2 linked regions of the Oryzias latipes genome follow. The protein of the gene in region 2 interacts with the protein of the main gene of each other region in a biochemical or structural test. Links are inferred from orthologs where the notes say so. Each region holds a gene or a part of one and is shown on either strand. Other genes may lie near its edges.

Evidence for each region. The genes of interacting proteins can lie anywhere in the genome.
Region 1: the proteins of map3k2 (region 2) and smyd3 are reported together in a solved structure, tested with the Homo sapiens proteins (2 studies listed by BioGRID and IntAct, with this or other methods). The link is inferred for Oryzias latipes from reciprocal best matches to the Homo sapiens genes MAP3K2 and SMYD3.

What each region holds. Positions count from the first base shown.
Region 1 is NC_019861.2:24,809,289-24,819,382, reverse strand, and holds part of smyd3 (histone-lysine N-methyltransferase SMYD3), read right to left. Parts: intron 7,737-10,094; coding exon 7,669-7,736; intron 4,963-7,668; coding exon 4,860-4,962; intron 4,344-4,859; coding exon 4,233-4,343; intron 3,186-4,232; coding exon 3,098-3,185; intron 2,845-3,097; coding exon 2,670-2,844; intron 1-2,669. UniProt on the Homo sapiens protein: Histone methyltransferase. Specifically methylates 'Lys-4' of histone H3, inducing di- and tri-methylation, but not monomethylation. Also methylates 'Lys-5' of histone H4.
Region 2 is NC_019860.2:9,906,482-9,916,539, reverse strand, and holds the end of map3k2 (mitogen-activated protein kinase kinase kinase 2), read right to left. Parts: intron 9,779-10,058; 5' UTR 9,761-9,778; coding exon 9,706-9,760; intron 9,523-9,705; coding exon 9,404-9,522; intron 9,319-9,403; coding exon 9,278-9,318; intron 9,203-9,277; coding exon 9,103-9,202; intron 9,017-9,102; coding exon 8,903-9,016; intron 8,095-8,902; coding exon 7,986-8,094; intron 7,625-7,985; coding exon 7,494-7,624; intron 7,138-7,493; coding exon 7,058-7,137; intron 6,973-7,057; coding exon 6,908-6,972; intron 6,803-6,907; coding exon 6,710-6,802; intron 6,628-6,709; coding exon 6,391-6,627; intron 6,327-6,390; coding exon 6,178-6,326; intron 6,093-6,177; coding exon 5,961-6,092; intron 5,884-5,960; coding exon 5,754-5,883; intron 5,686-5,753; coding exon 5,508-5,685; intron 5,429-5,507; coding exon 5,209-5,428; 3' UTR 3,195-5,208; downstream 1-3,194. Other genes in the region: THAP domain-containing protein 1 A, read left to right, coding at 12-131, 205-409, 486-636, 1,066-1,153. UniProt on the Homo sapiens protein: Component of a protein kinase signal transduction cascade. Regulates the JNK and ERK5 pathways by phosphorylating and activating MAP2K5 and MAP2K7. Plays a role in caveolae kiss-and-run dynamics.

The DNA.
Region 1 (10,094 bases), on a different chromosome or scaffold from region 2:
TCTTGTGCGTATCTGATTAACGTGGAGCATGGAGGTGTTCAATGAGCCAGGCCTGTGCAGCCTGCAGCACACATGCATTATGTGTGGGGAATAACCTCTTTATAGATCTCAAATGAAAGCCAAAAAAAGAGAGTGAGAGAAGAAAGGAATACAGAATGAGGGAAAGGACAGGAGTGGGAGAGATATCGGGAACTCCTGCAGCTATCCGTCTTGCCTGCTGAGGAGCCCAGAGGAAGATAGGAGATGAATATTGAGGATCCTCCTTCGACTTTTCTCTTCAGAAAGTTTACACTCTTTCAGATTCATTATTTCCTTTCATTGAACCGTTTCTCTGGCATGACTGTTCCTTGCATTTTCTGGTTCTGTCAAATAAATGTTGAAGATGTTTTTATTCCAGTAAAAAGGAAATTTCCAAGTTTGAAATTACTTTTCTTTTGGATTTGATTGAAAAGAAAAGTGAACATTCAAGAAACTTAAAAGGGCAGACCAGAAAGAAACCTCAATGGTGTGTTGTTATTGCTGCCAATAACAACATGAAACTAATGGAATTTGAAAAATATATATTTTTTCAAAATCATTGATTACAAAGTCTAGAAAAAAAGTGTAGTAAAATAATGCAATAAAAGCAGATGAAGTATTTACAAAAATTGACTCGTTTACTGATTCTTGATGATTTGCATATAGTCCTTAATCTTTCTAGATGATGTTTTTTTACACACCCAACAGTTCCGTAGTTTAACCGGCCATCCCCTCAGAAAATAGATCAAAGTGTTATTAAACTATTCAGGATAATCCATACTTCAGAGGAAGATGGAAGAAGACAGCAAGGTTACAAGCGGAATATTCACTGTATAAGAATCAGCTAAAAGATTGATGCTTAGTCTTCACTTTAATCTAATCTCTTTAAAAAGAGCAAGTGAGGCTCAGAAAAAACCAGCAGCAGTGATGACATTAAGTTCAAAGAAGCAGACCCTCTCAGTATGCCTCCGCTCACTTTGGTCTGTTCTTCCTTGACAAGAGATTTTCAGAGATCCCCCCTCCTTCTCATCACCATTCCTCTGGTTCTTTCTGCTGCTCCAACACTAGTTATTTATTTATAAGTTGTGTTGTCGTTTCCCTCCGGTGGTTATGTTAGTGCTGGTGTGTGTGAGAGTACGGCTGTGCCACTGGAGCTTTGCCCTTTACACAAGATCAATTAGTTTCACGCGCACACTTACACAAAAACCATGCAGCAGCTGTATAATGTTGAGGCTGAGGGAGCCGTACTGCAGTAAAAACTGAGCAGAGGTGTGTGTGGGGGTTGGACAGAGCAAACAAGATACAACTGATGTAATTTATCATAATCTGAGACACAACCTTTAAAAGTGCTGGGTTTATTTGAATTCCCTTAAAGCCTTAAGTCAGTAAGATATTATAGACATGGGTTTCTCATTAGATTATTTTGTTTATTTTCTACAAACATCTTTCATAAATTTGAGTTTATTTTCTACATGCATTTTTAAAATACACTACTTTTAGACACACGTTTGCGTATCCCACCCCTTTTTTATTAACAAAGACTTTCCAACATGGTAGAGGAGTGAGGAGCCCAGACAAAATAAAACCATCATCAATTATACATGATGTGTTGAGCACTGGCATCATCCACCTATAGCTCTATTATGAGCTGCCGTTGTAATTTATGATCTCTGCCAGGAAAACATTCCAGGGTTTGGACCAGCATGGATGCTGAAGGTAATCTGTAGTGTGAGCTGATGTCCTGGAAGAATGTCTGCAGAGGATGCAGCACTTCATGCTGTTTAACGGCTATTTGACGTAATCATATGCATTTGCACTAGCATGTACTTTGCATTAGCTAACAAAAGCTTATATTTATTGTTTCAGATGATGTTTCGCCTATTTTAGGACTGGGTTGGTACGATTGGGTAAAACTAACTAATGCAACCAGAAGAAAATCCCTCACCTCATGTTGCCTATTTTTTAATTGATCTATTTTTCTTAAGTGCCGGCCACCATCTCCGTCACATGCAAAAACCTAAAAAAAAAATATTACCTTAGCTATGTTGTAGTTTTTTCAAATTTAGGGAAAACTATTTCATTCCAGCTCTTGTTAGGCATCATTACAGTGTTAATTATGTTCATCTCCAATTTTATGTATACATAGAAAAGCATTGAGATAAATCTAAATGCTGTTCAAGAACCGTGTGCTTCACAGCAACAAACTCAATTTTAATGCATTTTGATTATTTTAAGAAGGTTCTGTTACCACACAGCACAGCAGACACAATTACAAATTTCACAATGTGAATGTTAAGACAGGGGATGTGTGCTGCTCTACTGCCCAGGCTGAGATCAGAAGAACTGCACTAAAATTAAAATACAGTAGGTTTTAGGGGTTTTCGAGGGTAAACAACTTGGAACATTGGGGTTTTCCTCCTATAAACCATGTTTGAGGTACATATTTGACATCATAGCATGATAGTTAGCTCAAAAAGCAAAACAACCATCATAAATCTACTGCCAATCTTAACTAAAGCTGCTTCACTTTACTGCAGTTCATATTTATTAAACCTTGGTATCTAAATATTTGAAGTGAAGTGAGCAAGATAAAAGTTAGATAAAAGTATTAATTGCTTTTCTGAGGAACATACAAACAAAGAGAGCCTAACCTGTAAGATGGAAGGGTCTTGAGCCCAAATGACAACGCCTCCTCCCATCGCCCCAGATGAACAGAAGCATCCAAAGCCATATCAGTAATCTTGAGCTTATAGAGATTTTCATCGGGAACTTCCTCACCAGCAGATGTAAGCAGATTGCTGCAACTCTCTAAAAGTTCCAGCCAATCTAAGGAAGTAATTAAGGAATTTGACATCAATGAGTGTTCATAAAGAAGGCGGATGCTCTAAAGTCCTAAATTTTGTTTTAACAATTTGTTTAAGAAAATTAAGCCAAAAATTCAAATTCAGGTCAGTAAAATTACTGATTAAATGCTTCAAATTATTTCAACATCTAAATCTAAATTTAAAACTTTCAAGATCACCAACAAAATGCAAAGATAAAATTATTTTTTATAGTCTTTAAGAGCGATAAAGGATGCTGGACTCTAACTGCAGTCCTTCCAGCCTTGGTAGGGCTTCCTTTAGCTGGCGCCAGGCTGCTTCCCTCCCTGACAGCATGACTCCATCCTGCACAAAGAGGTGAAACAGAAAAAAAAGTCAACTGTTGCCATGACAACTTTATGCCACAGTCCTGCGGCCTGACATCATCCGTATCAATTGAAAAAAAGATTAAAGAGACAAAGAAGCGTATCACAAAGTGCGTTTCTGTGTTTGCGGATTAAAGGTTGGTTAAATAAATTGATGCCTTTGTTTCCAGAGGACCACCTGAGAGCTCACTCTTGGCTTATCTCGCACTCACACAAAGCCCTCAACCAGTGCAGTGTTTTAGGGGAGTTGCTGTGTTGTAGAGTAGTGTCGTCTACACTTTAGAATAGAGAGATCAAAGCCAGAAGTCGAGGTGATGGCAAAGACAAAAAGATGAGAGGACAGAAAACATTGAAGCTGGAGCACAGACGGGAGCAGGAGGGACGAGCTGGTTGAGATGGATGGAAAAGAAAACTGCAGCTGAAAGACGAGATAATTTTTCTCATTTTTCAGTAGGTGGTCAGACCAACAGAAGGAGGATGTGAAGAGGTGGAGCGTGACAGAGTGACAGAGAGGAGAGGAGCAAGAGAGGGAAAGAGGAGGACAGGAGAGGGAACACGGAGACGCGTTATGCACCGACACGCTGTCTGCACAGCACAACACAAGTAGGGGCAAGTTTGTGCGCCTGAAAAGTGTGCGACAACAAGAAAAAGAAGAGAGCTCGACTCTGCTCAGCTGTCAAGAATAATTTATAAAGACTGCAAGAATCAAGTAAATCTGTATCAGCTTCGGTTCAATTCTTTTTGTTATTTGGGAACAGAAAAACAAGGAGGATGAAAATTAATAAAAAGGATATAAACATTATTAATGCAGTGATAATGAGGTTGTCATGGTTCAGCAACTAAATAAGCATCGAGAAGTAATAAAAACGTTTTTTCACAGTGAAAGAAAAAGAATATGTCAATACTTTTGGTTTTAAACAATTATTTCTGAATTAAACAAACTTTTTTAAATTTCAGTCATAAAGCTGTATTAGTACAGTTTTTGTCATTTTCTTTTTTACGATAACTTGCTATAACTACTTCTGACCTGTTCCTTTGAGCTGCAGCGTTGGCAGTGGCAGGTGAAATGATACTGCTCCTCCAGCTGCTTCTGCCGATCTTCAGTCAAAGACAATGTCTCAATATAACTTATCCTTAGCTGGACACAAAGAGATCATTAGATCAGTGTTGGCATGAATGCATTTATTCACATTTCTTACAGCGCAGTACAACAACTTTAGCAGGAGCAAATATTTGCAGCAGAACTATGGTTAAGTGAGTGTGAAAGAAATTATGCTGCGTTAGGCGTGTGTGGGAGTGCTGGTGTGTCTCCGTACAGATGGCGTTGATGCATCTCATTACATAGAGTCACGAGAAAGAGAAAAAAAACCACCTCTAAGTCAGGAGATTTCAACTTGCATGTGCTGCTTGTGATATTTCACTAGGCTGCAGGTTTTTAATAAAACAGCAATTTTACTATGAATCCATCAAAAAGTGGTAATTAATTGAGCAGTGAAATTTATTTGACAGCAGCCGCGCTTGTTACTTTCAGATTTTGCAAGTAAGTTATGACAAAAGCCATTAATAACGAATAAACAATAAATGAGAACGGCTTCCATTGATGTGATTTGTGTTGTTACTGCTGTAAAAATGCAGTACTTTTTTTTCACCATACCTCCTCTCCTGGGTTAATATCCTGCACAGCTCTGAGCTGCAGTTCTGTCCCATTAAAGACCATCACGCAGTTGGGCCGGCAGTCGTGGTTCAACAGAGATAAACTAAAGTCAAAAGAATGAGAAGCAGAGAATGGGATGACAAAAATGAAGTACAAAAAGAGAGAAAAAAGGAGATAGAAAGAAAAAAGCAAATGTATCTAGATAGCTTTTATTTTTTCTACGATATTCAAACTTTTTTTTACATGGGTGTAATTAAATTTATATGGAGCAGGTTGACAGTAGCAAAACTTGAGCAAATGTACTATTAATAAAGGGAAATAGATTTCTATCAAATTTACTTACTACTCACTGTATCTTTTGAACCATAAGGCACAGTTTTACACTTTATTACTTACCTACTTATTTACTTCACAGTTACTTAAAAAAAACCTTTATTTTTCTTTAACCATAGAACCACAATGGCGGAGCAAAAGAGCCACATGCGACTCCGGTGCCTCATGTTTCAGACCCCTAGTTTAACTAAACTAAGTGGTAATCTAACATAGACATGGAACAAACCCAACAAACAAAGCAGAGCACTGTCACTGTTGAAAATCCTGAATTTACTTTATGGTAATTCTGTTCACCATGACTCCCATGTTGACAATGTAACTGCAAGTAAAGACCTCCCCCTCACATAAAGTCATAGAACATCTCTGCACACATGAGCGGTAAAACCTGAAGAGGTTCTTGTGTGTTTGTACAGCTCTCTCCATTACCGCAGCTAACAATGACAGTATTCAGCATAATAGTGATTGAATGAGATAAAGTATGTGTGTTCAGTGTGCATGAAACCACCAGCTACCCTCTTTCGGCTTTGCACGAACAGTGGAGGAGTTGCTGGTTGAATAAAAACTAGACATCAAGTCCTCCAAAAGAAGCTTTTATCAGATAGAGAGCTGCTCGTTAGCATACTAATTAGAATAATTAAGCAAACATCATCTCACATTGAAGGCAAATGTAAGAAAAATGTGCTGCTCCTGCTGCAGCAGGATGAAAAGATGCCATTAGGACAAAATTGAAATTTACTAAATATAAAAATATTCAATATCTAACCTCTTTGATTCTAAACTCAGTTTTTCGAGTTGAACAAGAATCCTTAAAGTGCAGGAGCTGCACGACTAATCACCCCTGCTTTCTAATACAGAACATGTTCCTGATTTCTCCTTGAAGTCCCACTGCAATCATCTTTTGATCTATTTTAAAAGCGTTCCTAGTGGTCTTGTAACTATGATTGTGCCTTTTTTTAGCCAAAATAAAAAAGAAAACGTGTTGTTTTCTAGGACATAGTTCCTGCGGAGCGTCAGTAGTTCATTAGAACTGTAACTCTGAGTTGGGGGCAGAAGTAAGCCTGCGCTTATTTCCCACCATCCACTTGTTACACACTCTCCTGCTAGCTTACAGCCCCTCCTTACCCCAACACAACATTAGCGGTGCAACAAATATGGCGAGCAATGTCGGAGCAATCCGGCTGTACAGTTTTGAGCTGTAGATAAGGAAAATTGAGATTACATGAATCTATGTGTCTGCAAGTGTGTCCATCAGAATGGAGCTCGTGACCTGCCAACTGCAGCACCTACATCAGCTACAAGCATTTTCAAACTGAATTTTTTTCTGTTCGCTCCTGATTCACAACAATTTGAATAAAGAAATAAATTAGAAATTGTCTTTATATATGTCCTCCATCATCAGAAAAATGCCACAAGAACATGTTAAAAACACCAAGAACACGATTTTCATCAGAGTGGATCTTTAAAAAAATGTTTTAGTATATTAGTACATTACTATAAAGGTGGTGAAGATGTGGATGCAGCTTCATGACTTTCTGTTACTGTGAGGCTAAATTAAGATTAAAAATGATAACAAAAAGTGAATAAATGTCTGTTAACATCTGAGCCAATCAGTTATCCACAAATCCATATCATTTAGGCCATTTAGCTGAGGTGGAGAATGACATGCAGAGAGTGGATATCAGAGGAGGGGATGACAAAAGTAAAAGAAAAAAAAGGAGTGTTAACTAAAAGGTAAAAAACTGCATTTCATAAACTGAGCTGAGGTTTAGCCTCAACCAAATATCCCCCTCTATTCAAAAAACCCATGGTTGCTAGGCAACCCAAAATAAGAATAGGCAGGGGACCATCCTGCGAGTGAGCCTTTCATTTATGGGTGAATTGCAGCCCAAATGCATGGTTTGGCTGAGCTTTGGTAATACTGCTGTGACCATCTGACATCTCCATACTCGCCAGATAAACTGGCTGGGATACCTGCATGTGTTTGTGTATGTGTTAAGATATCTGTGTCTCTATGTGTGACAGGACAGACAGTGTGTTGGACAAAAAGCCAAATCCACGCCCTTTCACACAGGACACAACTTACTTATCCAGTTTGTGGAAAAAGACAACATTTCATGATATCCATCCTGAATCTCCAGGAGTGAGATTTCTCAGAGCTCTCTCGCTTCTGTCTACGCCAAGCAGCATTTTCATATTCCGGCAACATTCATTACCAAGTTTTCGCCTTACGAGAACATTTCACCTCGTCTCTCTTCCCTTCTTCTGTCATACTTCAAAGAGCTGAGAGGAGAAAGCGTGGAGAGCAGGGCCAGCTTTGAAAGTGTGCTGTCAAAGCCATGGTACTGTATCTCCAAGCTGCTTTTTTAATGTTTAAATTAGTGACAGAAGCAATGAGCCCCTTAAAAAATGTATTCAGACATGTGTGCCTCTAAGTGTTTTTTTCGTGCATGCATGAATGTGAACATGCGTGTGTTACCTTGGATACAGCCCCACTCCTATCTCCTGTAGCTCCCCATCACTGATGGTGAAACAATTACACGTCACCTTTAGAATGAAAGAGTAAAAAAAAAAAGACAAATGAGTAAGTATGTACCGGTAGTTGTTTATTAAATTACCTCAGAGATCTAAAAACATCTTGTTTTGTCAGCAGAGAACATTGTCTAATTTTTCTGAAAACCCGTTAAACCCCATGCAGGGGCACTTACATGTTATATGGCATGCCAAGAATCACAAAGTGGGTAAAAAACAAACAAACCTTTCAAAATAAAACAAAATGAAACAAAAAAATAAATTTGTAATACAAAAAAACAATTCTTTATATCGTCAGCCTAATAGCAAATCTGCCTAACTCATTTTTTCAGGTTTTTGGAAAAGAAGAAAAAACACCTTTTTTTCACCAAATTGTAAGAACTTTTTATTTATATGTTAATGGTGACTCCCACCAGATGTGTGAACCCGTTTGAAATAAAAAAACAGACAATAGCTATTGCATAACATAGAAAACTGACTTGTGCAAATTTTGCAGGGAACTCAATTTGACTTAGGCAGTTTTTATAATAAAGTAAAAACCATCAAACTTGTTTCTTGCCTTAACATAACCTGGTTATTTAACTATTTCCTTAACCAATGTTAAGACCTAACATTAACTAACGTGAAACGATGTTTCACTTGCCTAACCCAGATTGTTTCATTTGCCTTGGTGAGGCAGGTTGTTATAGTAGTCATGGACCACTCTTGGTAGTACCAGTTTCATTGACTGGAATTTCCTCAGAGTGAGTGGCAATTGGGTAGGAAAGAGTGGGACCCAGGGGAATGATTCTCTGGGGATGGTCACTCGCTGAAGCAGGCCCTCCCAGTCTGACTCAAACGCTAACTTATAGCGAATCCATCTGCCAAGTACTGGAAAGCCTGAAGGTCATGGACTGTGGGATCACCTGGTTTTCCACCTGGCCGGATGGTTTTGACGTAGGCCCCAGATAACTTCATGAAGTTGTTGTGGTACAACTGGGTGACCTTGTACGGGGATGGGTTCAAACGTGCAGTTTCAAAAATGATGATGTAATCACGCAGAGTGTAAATGTCTTTCCTGATACGGCGTTCAATGCAGCTATGCATGGAGTCACACTTCATTTGTGTGTGCCCTGCAACCAGAAATTTTTGTACAATTGTGACATCATGCTTCATGGCCAGATCAAGGTACGCATTTGCAATGGTGCAACACCGATTCTGATAGCCGCAGCCATCACTCCAGACTATGACTTTTTAATATTTGGGTTGGCCTCTAAAGGGCCGTACACACCGGGACGAATATCGGCGCACGTTATTCGCCAGCGTTTTTCGCCACGTTTTTTGTGTTCACACCCAAGCGATTTTCGCCTAACGATGAGCCGAGTGAACATGCAAATTCATTCCCTGACATTAGATGGCGCTTAACGTAAAACAGAAATACCCCTGTACACAAGGTGGCGCTGCGCAACTTTACCCTCCTTAAAGTCGCTTTTCACTCAGAAGAAGAGAGCAAGTTTACGCGTTTGTCAGAATCATACAAAGAAAACATGAATATTTCAAGCACCAGCAGCTCCAGTTCCAGCGATGAAGAAATTATTGTTCTGTTGAATGATGAAAGACGCCGGAAAAGACGCAGATGTACATCCCATAGTTACGAGAAGAGAAGAACATGGGGAGTTTTATCGACTGGTACATGAGCTGAAAATGTATCATGAGCGTTTTCGGGGATATTTTAGAATGTCCGTCAGTGAGTGCATCTTCTTCGTCTTATTTCTTCGTGGCAGTGTAGATGCTACTTGGCGTATATCTTCTTTGCCGTTATGTATGTGTGCTCAGCAAGACAGTTTTTTGTTTGAGTGCCCCCAAGTTGTGTTTTACTGTAACTTCAGAAGCTCCAGACACGTGTGCAAAAGCTAGTGTGCAAAAGATAGTTTTTGACGCGGCGCGTCAAACCAAAAAAACAAACCCAAGGCGTTTTTTGAAAAATGACGCTTTTACGCGTAGCGTTTTTTGCGTCGGTGTGCACACTCACATTGGTGCCCTTTGTTTAGTCACGAGGCGTTAAACGTCGGCGAATATCGCGCGCGAAATTCGTCCCGGTGTGAACAGGCCTTAAGACTGACTCAAAGTGTTTGAACTGCAGATGGGCAAAAACCTCGCTGCTGAGGGAGCCCTCGTGCTCCTCCCAGGGGTAACAATAGCTATCTTTTTTACCCAGGTTGAAGCAAGTAAAGTTGTGTATCTGCAGTTTAGTTTTATAATACATTGGGCTCGCTTGGGTCTTGGGGCACAAAAGAACACGATGCAGGTCTATTGTCCACACTGAGAGTTTGTCACTGGATTCCTGTTTATCCTTAGCTTTTTCAGCCTGAGCTTCAGCCTTTGATTTCAAAT
Region 2 (10,058 bases):
TTCTTCCACAGAACAGTAAACTCGTCCAAACTGCGAACAGCACAGGGAAGCGCCTGGCCTCCTCCCAGAATGCTTCCCTCTTCTCAGCGGAAAAGGAAGGCCAAGCCCCCGAGCAGTGGTCCCTTTCCACCGTAAGGTCACGTTTGTAGTCCTGTGCAGTGCCATCGCTTACATTGTGACGTTGCGCGTGCTGCCTTTCGACAGTTCCACACCTACGCTGGCTCCAACGAAGACTTCAAGCTGAAGTGGCAGCAGGCCGAGCGGAGGGCGGAAACCTTGAGTCGGAAGCTGCGTACGATAACCCGAACCGCCATGCTCCTCAAGAAGAGCATCTCCTCTTTGAAGGAGGAGCTAAAGGAGAGCAATCTTCTGAAAGAGCGACTCCAGCAGAAGCTCGACACCGTTGAAGGTAAACTGTGGCGTTGGAGCTCCCCGCGAGTTCGTCTGACGACCTTTAACGCGTCCTGTTTGCGTTCTTTCCCCAGCTTTCCCCTACGACTTGTTCCAGTTGGCTGGTTCGTCTGGTTATACAGAGGAACAGAAGAACTTTGCCCTCACACTCCACATGCAAAGCCCCAAAGCTTATAAATTCCTGAGGACGAAGATTAGCTTACCTTCAACCAGAACTTTGAGAAGGTACGTTTAGATCTACAAGAAGATTAGACATAGGTCTTTGTTTTTGATGGGGTGTTATCAAACCAATGACAGACAATTGGGGAAGAATCAGTCATTGTGTTTGCGAACTTCTAGCTACTAGCAAACACAATAGAATCAACACAAGACACTCTTTAGGTTTCCTGACAAAGTCAAGTGTAGTAGAAGTAGATATTCAAACATACTGCAAACATGTATGGTGACCTAGGAATAAGCCCTGTGGGACACCACAAGACTAAATAGGTGATGTTGAAGTTAGCATAAAAGCTATGCACGTATATTAGCAGCTACAGCAGAAACGAGAGTATTGCGCTTTACTGTCTTTACCGAGATGTTACTCTATTCTTTTTTTTCCCCCCCAGTAAATTCAAGCTTACGACCGATTTATTTCTTTATTTATTTTTTGCGCAGGTGGATCTCGGAGGCAGACGACACCTCCGACATTAACGGGTCGATGCTGAAGCTGGGGGAAGAGATAGAAAGCGACTCGCCCAGCTAGTCCCGCATAAAGATGATTGGAGAACAGGCGAAACATTTCTGTGACGGCGACGATTTGATTGAATACTGGCGCTCGCTCGGCTCTCCATAACCACAAGACTGTCGATGAGGACGCGGTCAAAACCAACTTTTCAGAGGTTTCTTTAAAAAAATCTTTTTTTTTTCAGTTCTGAACTTATGAAGCAAACTTCTGCTGAACGAAATGATCAAATTCACTTTTACAAAAATAAAATGTTTTACCAAAAATTACAATCTAGTCGACGTTTTTGGCAAATAAACATACCGGAAATTAAATCTAACAAAGCTGTTCAACCTCTAACATTATTATATAAATATGCCACTCTTGTCAGAGTTCAGCTGAGATGGATGTGGTCATGTGACCTTTTGCTTTGCATCACATCCATTTAAAGTCTGTTTTGGAGCTCCACTGCCATCTTAGCTAGGAAGGTCAACCAATACGGGCGTTTTTGGAAAAGGAGGCCTGAAAACCATTGGAAGATGGAATCCAATGTTAGATCAATAAAAGAAAGTTTTTATATTTAAATGAAGCCGCAGAGTAGCTTTAGAACTACATTTTAGTTATTTTATGTTGTTAAGCGGCGTTTTACATTGAAGTGAATAGAAGCTAACACAGGGGTCTGGAACCTGAGGCTCCGGAGCCAAAGAAATTATTTTTTTTGTAGTTTTAGTTCTTTATGTTAAGTTTATTAGGTTTTGTGGTGGAATATTATTAGAATATGCTTAAAACACACAGTACAGTTCTGTACCACAACAGTATAGTTGCTGTCCAGAGGTTAAGTACTTAAAGTATATCATTGGATTTATATTTACTTTAGATTTCTTTCTAAAAGGGGAATTTTGACTTAATTTTGTCATGCTTATATTTAATATTAAAAGGAGAATAAGGATGAAGGCGCACTAAAGTTATGATAGAAAATATTAACTTTGACTTTCCTGCATTTTTAATTCAATTAAATCTGGATCTTATTTGGCAAACGGTGTCTTTTATTTTGAAATATTCAAGATTCAAAGGGTTTATTGTCGTATGCACAGTAAGAAACAGGTTTTCCTAAACAATTAAATTCTGACTTTGCTGTCTACTCTGAATGCCAAGGTTAATTTAAATAAAATAAAATAAAGATAGGAGTACGAAATGTACAGGAAACTCAAAATTCACACATAACATAAATAAAAATAAAACTGCAAAAAAATAAATAAAAAGATGTCATGCAAATTCTAAATGTTCAAGAACAGTAATAATAAACAATAATGAACAATGAGGATGTGCAAGGTGTTCCAGACTCCTGTCAGCTGTTAACCCTTGTGCTATCCTAGGCAATTTAACATTGGGAGTTGGGTCATCTAGACCCACTAGACAGTGCTCTGAACCTTTTTTCTTCAATGATTTGTGATTTTCACTGGTGTCCATGGATTACATGAAATCTTTCCACCTTTATCCACCTTTGTCATGGTAGGGAGAACACGTCAATGTAAGGGTGGGGTCATCTAAGATAGCACAAGGGTTATGTAGTCTGATGGCAGAGGAAAAGAAAGAGTTCCTGAGTCTAGTGGCCCTTCACTTCAGTCCTGTACCTCCGTTCCAAGGGGAGAGTGACCAGAAAGGAACTTGTATAAGCTGCTGTTAAGAGTAAAATATAACATTGGTATACTATTGTCTATATCTCAAAGCTACATGTTCTAAATGGATGGCGTAATGGCCACAAAAACGCGAATTAAGTCTTTTTTTGTAAACAATAACGTGGGAGTTTGTGGCTCTAGCTGCAGTTTGGTCCATAAGAAACAAACCCCTGTGCAAATATGTCACAAGCCGCCTAGTGACTTGGCTCCAATCAGTCTTATTTCAGACTGGCCTCAAACAGGAAGTGCAAAAGCTGCAACGTTGGAAATAGTTTGGCCTTCAAAATAAAGTTCCCAACATCTAAAATTTGTGTTGTAATGCTTTAACGATAATAGCTCAAAATATACAATTGTCTGTCACAAACTACCAAACACTTGAATAAATAGGGAGTAAAAACCAAGAGTTCATGTGAAATAAATAGCTTTTATTGTTTTCATCATCGTATTCATAACTGCTGTCATTATCGACCCCGGAGCCGACGCCACGGTCCAGGAATTTGTCCAAAAAAATAGCAACCGTTCAACAGCACCGCTGTGTCTCTCTGGACCCAACCATGCATGAAATCTCCCATTTACAAAACAAAAGCAAAATAAAAATATATATTAAAAAATTATGCGTACCACTGATATACAGATCTGATATAAACAGGCATATTGGTCACAAACCAATTAGAATTATAAACATGGCTTCTTTTACAATACACAGACCAAACATGTGGGATATAAGAGTACTTTTCTTTTAAAAACAACAAAAAAAAAGATACATTTGATTTTTTATTTTTATTTAAATCATTTCCTCTTTTTTGTAATCATAACTTTAAAGTCCTGACGCCTCCCCCCATGATCAGAATGCTCAAGTGACCAATGAGCAAAGTGCAGTAAATGCACATCAACATACACACATACATACGCATACACACACATACATACAAACACACAGGAATGGCAGCAGCGGCTACAGAGAGAACTACAGATGTACCTGCAGGTGACAAATACTGGAGTTAATCCACTGTGGTGAAACCAGGCCACCTGATGGTAAATATGACACATTACATTCAGTAAGAGTTAGCTGGACATTCAAAACACACATACACGCACACACGCCGTCAAAAAAAATAAATCAAAACAGTCTTTAAATGTGCAAAGAAAAGGTGGCTGAACCGAGCTGCATCCGGCAGCTGTGAGGAAGCCGTAAGAAAGCATCAGTGAGTCATCCATAGTGCATTGTGGGAATCGAGGTGGAACAGTGGGCCGCCTCGGAGAATGTTTCCGCTTTGGAAAACCAAAAGATTTTTTTTAAAAAGAAAACTCGTAAGTGCTCTCAGAAGTCCACTTCATCGCGACCTGCAAGAGGCAATCTGTGGATACAACTCGTCATCGACACCTAGTGGACACGGAGGAAACAGCAGCAAGGAGCACGTACCAGAGACTGTACCGGGTTCAAATGATTGTTTATCTGTACCGTTACTTTTAACATCTGCTGATTGCACCTTCAAAGAGAAGAAGAAACATCTAAGAGGTGAAGAAACAGTAGAAAAACTGCAGCGCTGCTTCTGGACTGTTGGGGACGTTTGCAAAAAACAACAGTAAAAAAGGCTGCGATGTGGAGTCATGATGCAAGATCCTGTAAACCTCTTCAAGAGGAAGGCCAGCAGGAGACGAGGAGGGCTGTGGGATGTCCCAAAGCGACCCTGGGCTTCTGCAAACCTTTGAGACGTTCAGCTGCTTCAAGCCCTGATCGTCTTCTCGTGTTGTGTCAGAGCCAACTCTTAAATCCGGGGTCAACGTTGGACCAGGGATAGGTTTTGGTTTCCAGGTTTGTAGAACCGCATAAACCAGGCATAGGTGGACGTGAGGCTGAACTGAAACCGGCTGGTTTGTTTTTGGGCAAAACGGCGTGAAGGCAGATCATCCGGGAGGACAAAAACGACGCTGAGCGACCGAGACCGGCCCTGAAACAGAAAAAGGCACGCGGCGAAGACGGGGAAGGTCAGACGAAGGGTGAGGTGGGGAGCGGCGGGCGTTGGGGTCGTCTTTAGCAGCGGGGTCGACGGCGGCGCTCTCTGGGGGTTTGGCAGGACACTACATTCTGGGTCGGGTCGGCGAGATGTGGGGACAGGGCTTCACCTCCTGCAGGTCCACAACACCGACTTAGAGAAACCGTACAAACGTGAAAAAAAGGGGCGTTTGTCTGCTTCAGAAGGGAGGGGCTCGCCCCCACGTTTCAGAAATTAAGGTGCACGTTGCAGGAAAACCTAAATAAAACCACCGTCTGCAGTCTCGTACAGAGACGGAGGAGCACGCGCTCCCTCGCCTGTCCATAGCAGCCTCAGCATGAATCCGAGGGGGGGCGGAGCCACCTGGGGGCCCGCCCCTTCTGCTTCAATATGTTTGGCAGTTCTGTAAGGACTGAAGGTGCTAATGAACAAAGATATGCCTAAGTAGCTCATCAGCAGACGGGCGCTGTTTGGTCTCTACAAAGATCCGCCTCAGGAACTCGCGGCAGTGGTCCGACACGTGCACGGGCAGCTCCGGGTTTGTGGGCTGCGTGGCGATTTTGAAGATGGCCGCCATGGCTTCGAACTCCGCCCACGGAGGCCGCTGAGTTAGCATCTCCACCACGGTACAGCCGACACTCCTAAAAGCAAAGCGCAGATTTGTTGGGGGATGGGCGCCTACAGCCGGTGCCGGACGCCGCTTTCTGAGCGCGCCCTTACCATATGTCGGCCTTCCTGCCGTAGCCTTCTCCGCTGATCACCTCCGGGCTCATCCAGTAGGGGGTGCCGGTCACTGACTTGATGCCTGTCCCGGACAGGCAGATGGTCTGCAGCCGCCTGCTGGCGCCAAAGTCTCCCAGCTTCACGTTACCCACGGAATCCCGCAAGATGTTGGCCCCTGGAGCCAGAGGACACCCGCTAAAGTTCTGCCGCGCCCCGCCAGCAACCCCCCCTCCCCCTTCTCACCTTTGATGTCCCGATGCACGATCATGTTGCTGTGCAGGTACGACACACCCTCCAAGATTTGCCGGGTGTATCGGCGCGTTACGTTTTCCGTCAGAGCTCCGTACGACTTCAGCTGGTCTTTGATGGAACCCTGAGACAGGAAGTTGACGGTCAGGGTGGACAAGGACTTCAAATCGATATTTGGGGGAGGGGTTGGCAGATGCTTACTCCAGGCATGTGCTCCATGAAGATGGAGAGCGTCCGCTCCATGGTGTCCCGCAGGCAGCCGTAGTACTGGACGATCCGCTCGTGGCACAGGTTCTTCAGGAGCTGGATCTCGCACTCCAACGCGCTCACCTCCTGAACGAGCCAATCAAAAGCTTGAAATTGCGACGCATACTACCCCTCGCTCCTCCACTAAAAAAAAACAACAACAACCATGCACCTTGCTGGTCTCCGGACTCTCCGGGTCAAACTGGACTTGTTTGACCGCCAACTCCCGCCCAGTGTCTGCGTCGTAGCACAGGTACACCCGCCCAAACGCCCCCTGACCTAGCAGCTTCCCCAGACGCCAGTTGGTGGGAGCACGCGGAGCTGCAAGCACACGGCAGGTTAACCACTGAGCTACAGGTGGGCGGGGCGCGCTCGGTCCACTTACAGCGACTGGGCGGGCTGATGTCCATGACGGAGAGGGTGGGGCCGGCTGAGGGGTTGGCGTTCGACTCGATGTCGCTGCCTCTCCGCCTCCTGGCAGGGCCGGGGGCCTCCTCCAGGTCGGGGGTGAAGACGCTGCTGCCGCTGCTGGTGCTGGGGGACTGCTCTGTGGGACTGAAGCTAACGGGCGAGCGAAAGTTGTGGACCTGCGTCCGCCGAGCTCGCGGAAAGGTCTTCCGCCCTGAAAGCCAAACAAGATACTCTGAATTATTCGTTTCGGTCTCCTCTCTGTTACGAACAGGAGCGAAGGAAAAACACCCCACCATCGCTGTAATCCTGAAGGCCGTAAGGAATGCCGTATCTCCGTGGATACGTCCCTCCTTTCCCGGACTTCTCAAACACGGGAAGGTCGGACTCTGCGGGGGAAAACAGCGGCACAGTTATCACAGAGGTGGAGCCAAGACTAAAGCAAAACAAAACCTTTCTTAATCTTTGAGATCAAAAGCTGTTTCAGGGTTTACCTGGGAAGTCCTGGTGGTTGTCCGGGTAACTCTGAGCTCGAGGCATCCTGGACTTTGGGTATTCCCTGCAACACACCGAAAGGAAAAGTTACTGTGTGTCGGTTTTAAGGCTTCACACCAGGCCTTGAGCTGGAATGTGGAGCCACTCACCCGTCCAGCGGGCTGTCTAAAGACGGACAGCTTCCTGACGCGGAATTCTCCGGACTGCTCATGGATAAGGGATCGAACATCTGAAGGCAAAATAATGAAGAGCTTAAAAAAGTTGGACATATTTGTTTGAAGTTTTCAGACTTCAAACGACCATCTGGTGAACTCTGAACTTGTAGACGTTCTATGAATATTTATTTTGGGGTAATGCGTGCACCTGGCAGCCGTTCTGATGCCTCACAGAAAAAACAAAAACAAAACATCACTTTGAGTTAACTCCAACAGCTAAAACCATAATTTTACTCCCAAAACCTCACAAATTAGGAGCATAGCATCCAAACTGGATTCCAAAATGTTTCCGCACTACGTTGTTGTGCATTTTTCTTTTTGTTGGAAATGTGAAATAATATTAGAACCAAGTTTAAGGCAGAGTCCATACCGGATCCATACTCTCAGGAATGAACTCCCCCTCGCTGTTGATGCTGGTGAAGGAGCCGTTTCGTGCCACCTGTGGGAGAGGATCGGGAATGTATCCTGGGGGAGGGGAGCTTCGGTCGGTCGAGAGGGACCCTGCGGTTGGAAGAGAAACTCAGGTGAGCGGCGATTGGTTGTGTCGCTTTGCACGTCCATTTTTCCATGGAGCGGTTCTCCTCGCTGTGACTTGTTGACGTTTCTCAGACTCAACTGGGGCTTCACCTCAGTCAGGAGTTCCCCAGGGATCTATCTTAAGACTCATTTAATTATTCTACTGTAATAGGTGCAAAAGATGGACCAACATCATATTGAACTCTATGGGTTAGTAATGGGATGGAACCGTGCTGCATCCGACAGTCACAGACTTTTCATCCATCCATCTCTAATCTACATTCACTTTTCTTGGAGGTCATAAGCTGGCCGCCTTTAGCTGATAAAGGAGACAAAAGGAAATCACCTGACTGACCAATCAGAGACAGCATGCTCTTTTTGTCCGCAACCCCAAAGCCCCTGTTATCCAGCTCCTCGTGGGATGGAAGGAGGTCCATGTTGGAGGCGGGGGAGTTCTGGAAAGAAAACAAAAACAGATAAGCCAGACAAACAAAGACCCCCTGCAAACTGGGTGGTCCGACTGGCTTAAAGCTAATGTTTGGAAGCATTTGGGCTTTCTCAATGTTGATGTTCTTATTGGCTTTAAACAACAATCATGCCAAAATTACCAAAATGGATTATTTAGAAACACAATAAACATTTGAAATCATATCACGAAGGGCTGGGTTGGTTGATCAATTAATCCATAAAAGTTGAAATCGCATGACAGCAGCAAAGCCAAAATTTGCTAGCTTGATGCTAACGTATAATGGAATTCCCCATAGGACGGCTAATGCTAACGCTCGGTCGACCTTAAACATATATTGCTGACTAAATGAACAGCTTTATATACTCACAGGTAGGAATTTTCCTGACTATTTTAAGGAAACATTTTCTTTTTAAATTAACCGTTTGTTGCTGAAATCTTCAAACTCAACCCAATCATCGCTCACTTCCATCGGGAGGGGGACAGAAACCGTCCAGGCGCTCTCAGCACGAATGCTGCTTCGACAAGTTCCGTACCTGCGAGTGCTTCCAACAGTCAAAAAACTATTTAGGTTATCATGAGGGGATTATGGCATCAGTCTGAGCTTTGATAGCGAAGGACATGAGGATGTGGTGGATATTAAGGCACACATTTACAGTTAATGAGTCATTATTGTTCTGGGAACTTTTTCATTAAGTGTGAGAATCTTATCATACATCAAAATGTCTCTTTCATTGTACGTCATCTAGGTTTTTTTTTCAAAATAGTTGCTCCCTTGCTAGAAGGAGCAAACAGACCTGCGAGGACATCTGGACTACTAGGAGGATCTTCAGGCTCTTCATGTGGACGCTGCGATCCAGCAGCTCCACGGCCTTGTCCAGGTCATCCTGGGTCACCAGCGGGATCAGTAACTGTGGGAGGGAAGAGCAAAGACGGCGTGGGTGTGGCGCTGCGATTGCTCCGGGCCACCTCTGCGCTTCGGCCTCCGGATCTGTACCTCGTTGTTAGAGTAATGGAGGCCCATCGCCTGACCGAAGGCCACTTTTGCCTTCGCCTTCAGGTCGTCCAGCTTGACGGGTCGAGGAAACTGCAGGATCCTGCGGAGGAGACGAGAGGTCAGGAGGTGGCTGTGCCGTTCGGACCATGTTTGGACCAAAAAGGAAGGGTCTCACCTCTTCTCCCCTCTGAATTCAAACTTCACCCTCACATCGTTCTGAGGAGAATGGAATGAAACTCAGCAACTCCTAACTTCAGTAAAAGTTCAGAAAAAAACCACCTCAGAGGGGTCCGGCGCTCACCTGGTTCTTGGGTGAAGAAGTTTTGGGTTTTCCCAACTCCGACAGGAATGTGGCGGGGCGGCTGGAGCGGTGCAGTTCGGCCAAGTCCTGCATGATCGAGTTCAGGGCCTCCTGCTCATCTGTGGGACGACAGAACCTCCAATTACCATCAAAGATGGTGGGGGGAACAGTGGAACAAACAGACAGCCGGAGGTGAATGCTCTCTGCTTCTAAAGGTCACAAGCCAAAACCTGGAATTGAAAAAACAAAACACAGTGGCTAAAGGATCTCGACAGCCCGCTGCCAACAAAGTGCATACATACCCATCATCATGGCACGGCGGCTGACCCAGGAGGCCAGGAAAGAGGACTCTCCCATCAAAGGGATTCCTTCCTCCTGCAACAGCGGAGCAGAAGTCCCGGCGTGAAGCTTCACAAGTTAAAAGACGGTTATCTTCCGACTGATGAGCAGATTTGGATCTAAAACATCTGTAAATGCTCGCAAATGCTGTTGTGGTATTTAAGTAGCTTTATTTAAAACAGAACGGTGAACGCCGCTATACAGATGAAACTGCTGTATTCATGTTTAGCTCAAATTAAACGTACCAAAACAAAACATTTTTGAATAAAATGGGATGAACAAATACGGACAAAAAACTTTCTTCTCCTTTTACCGT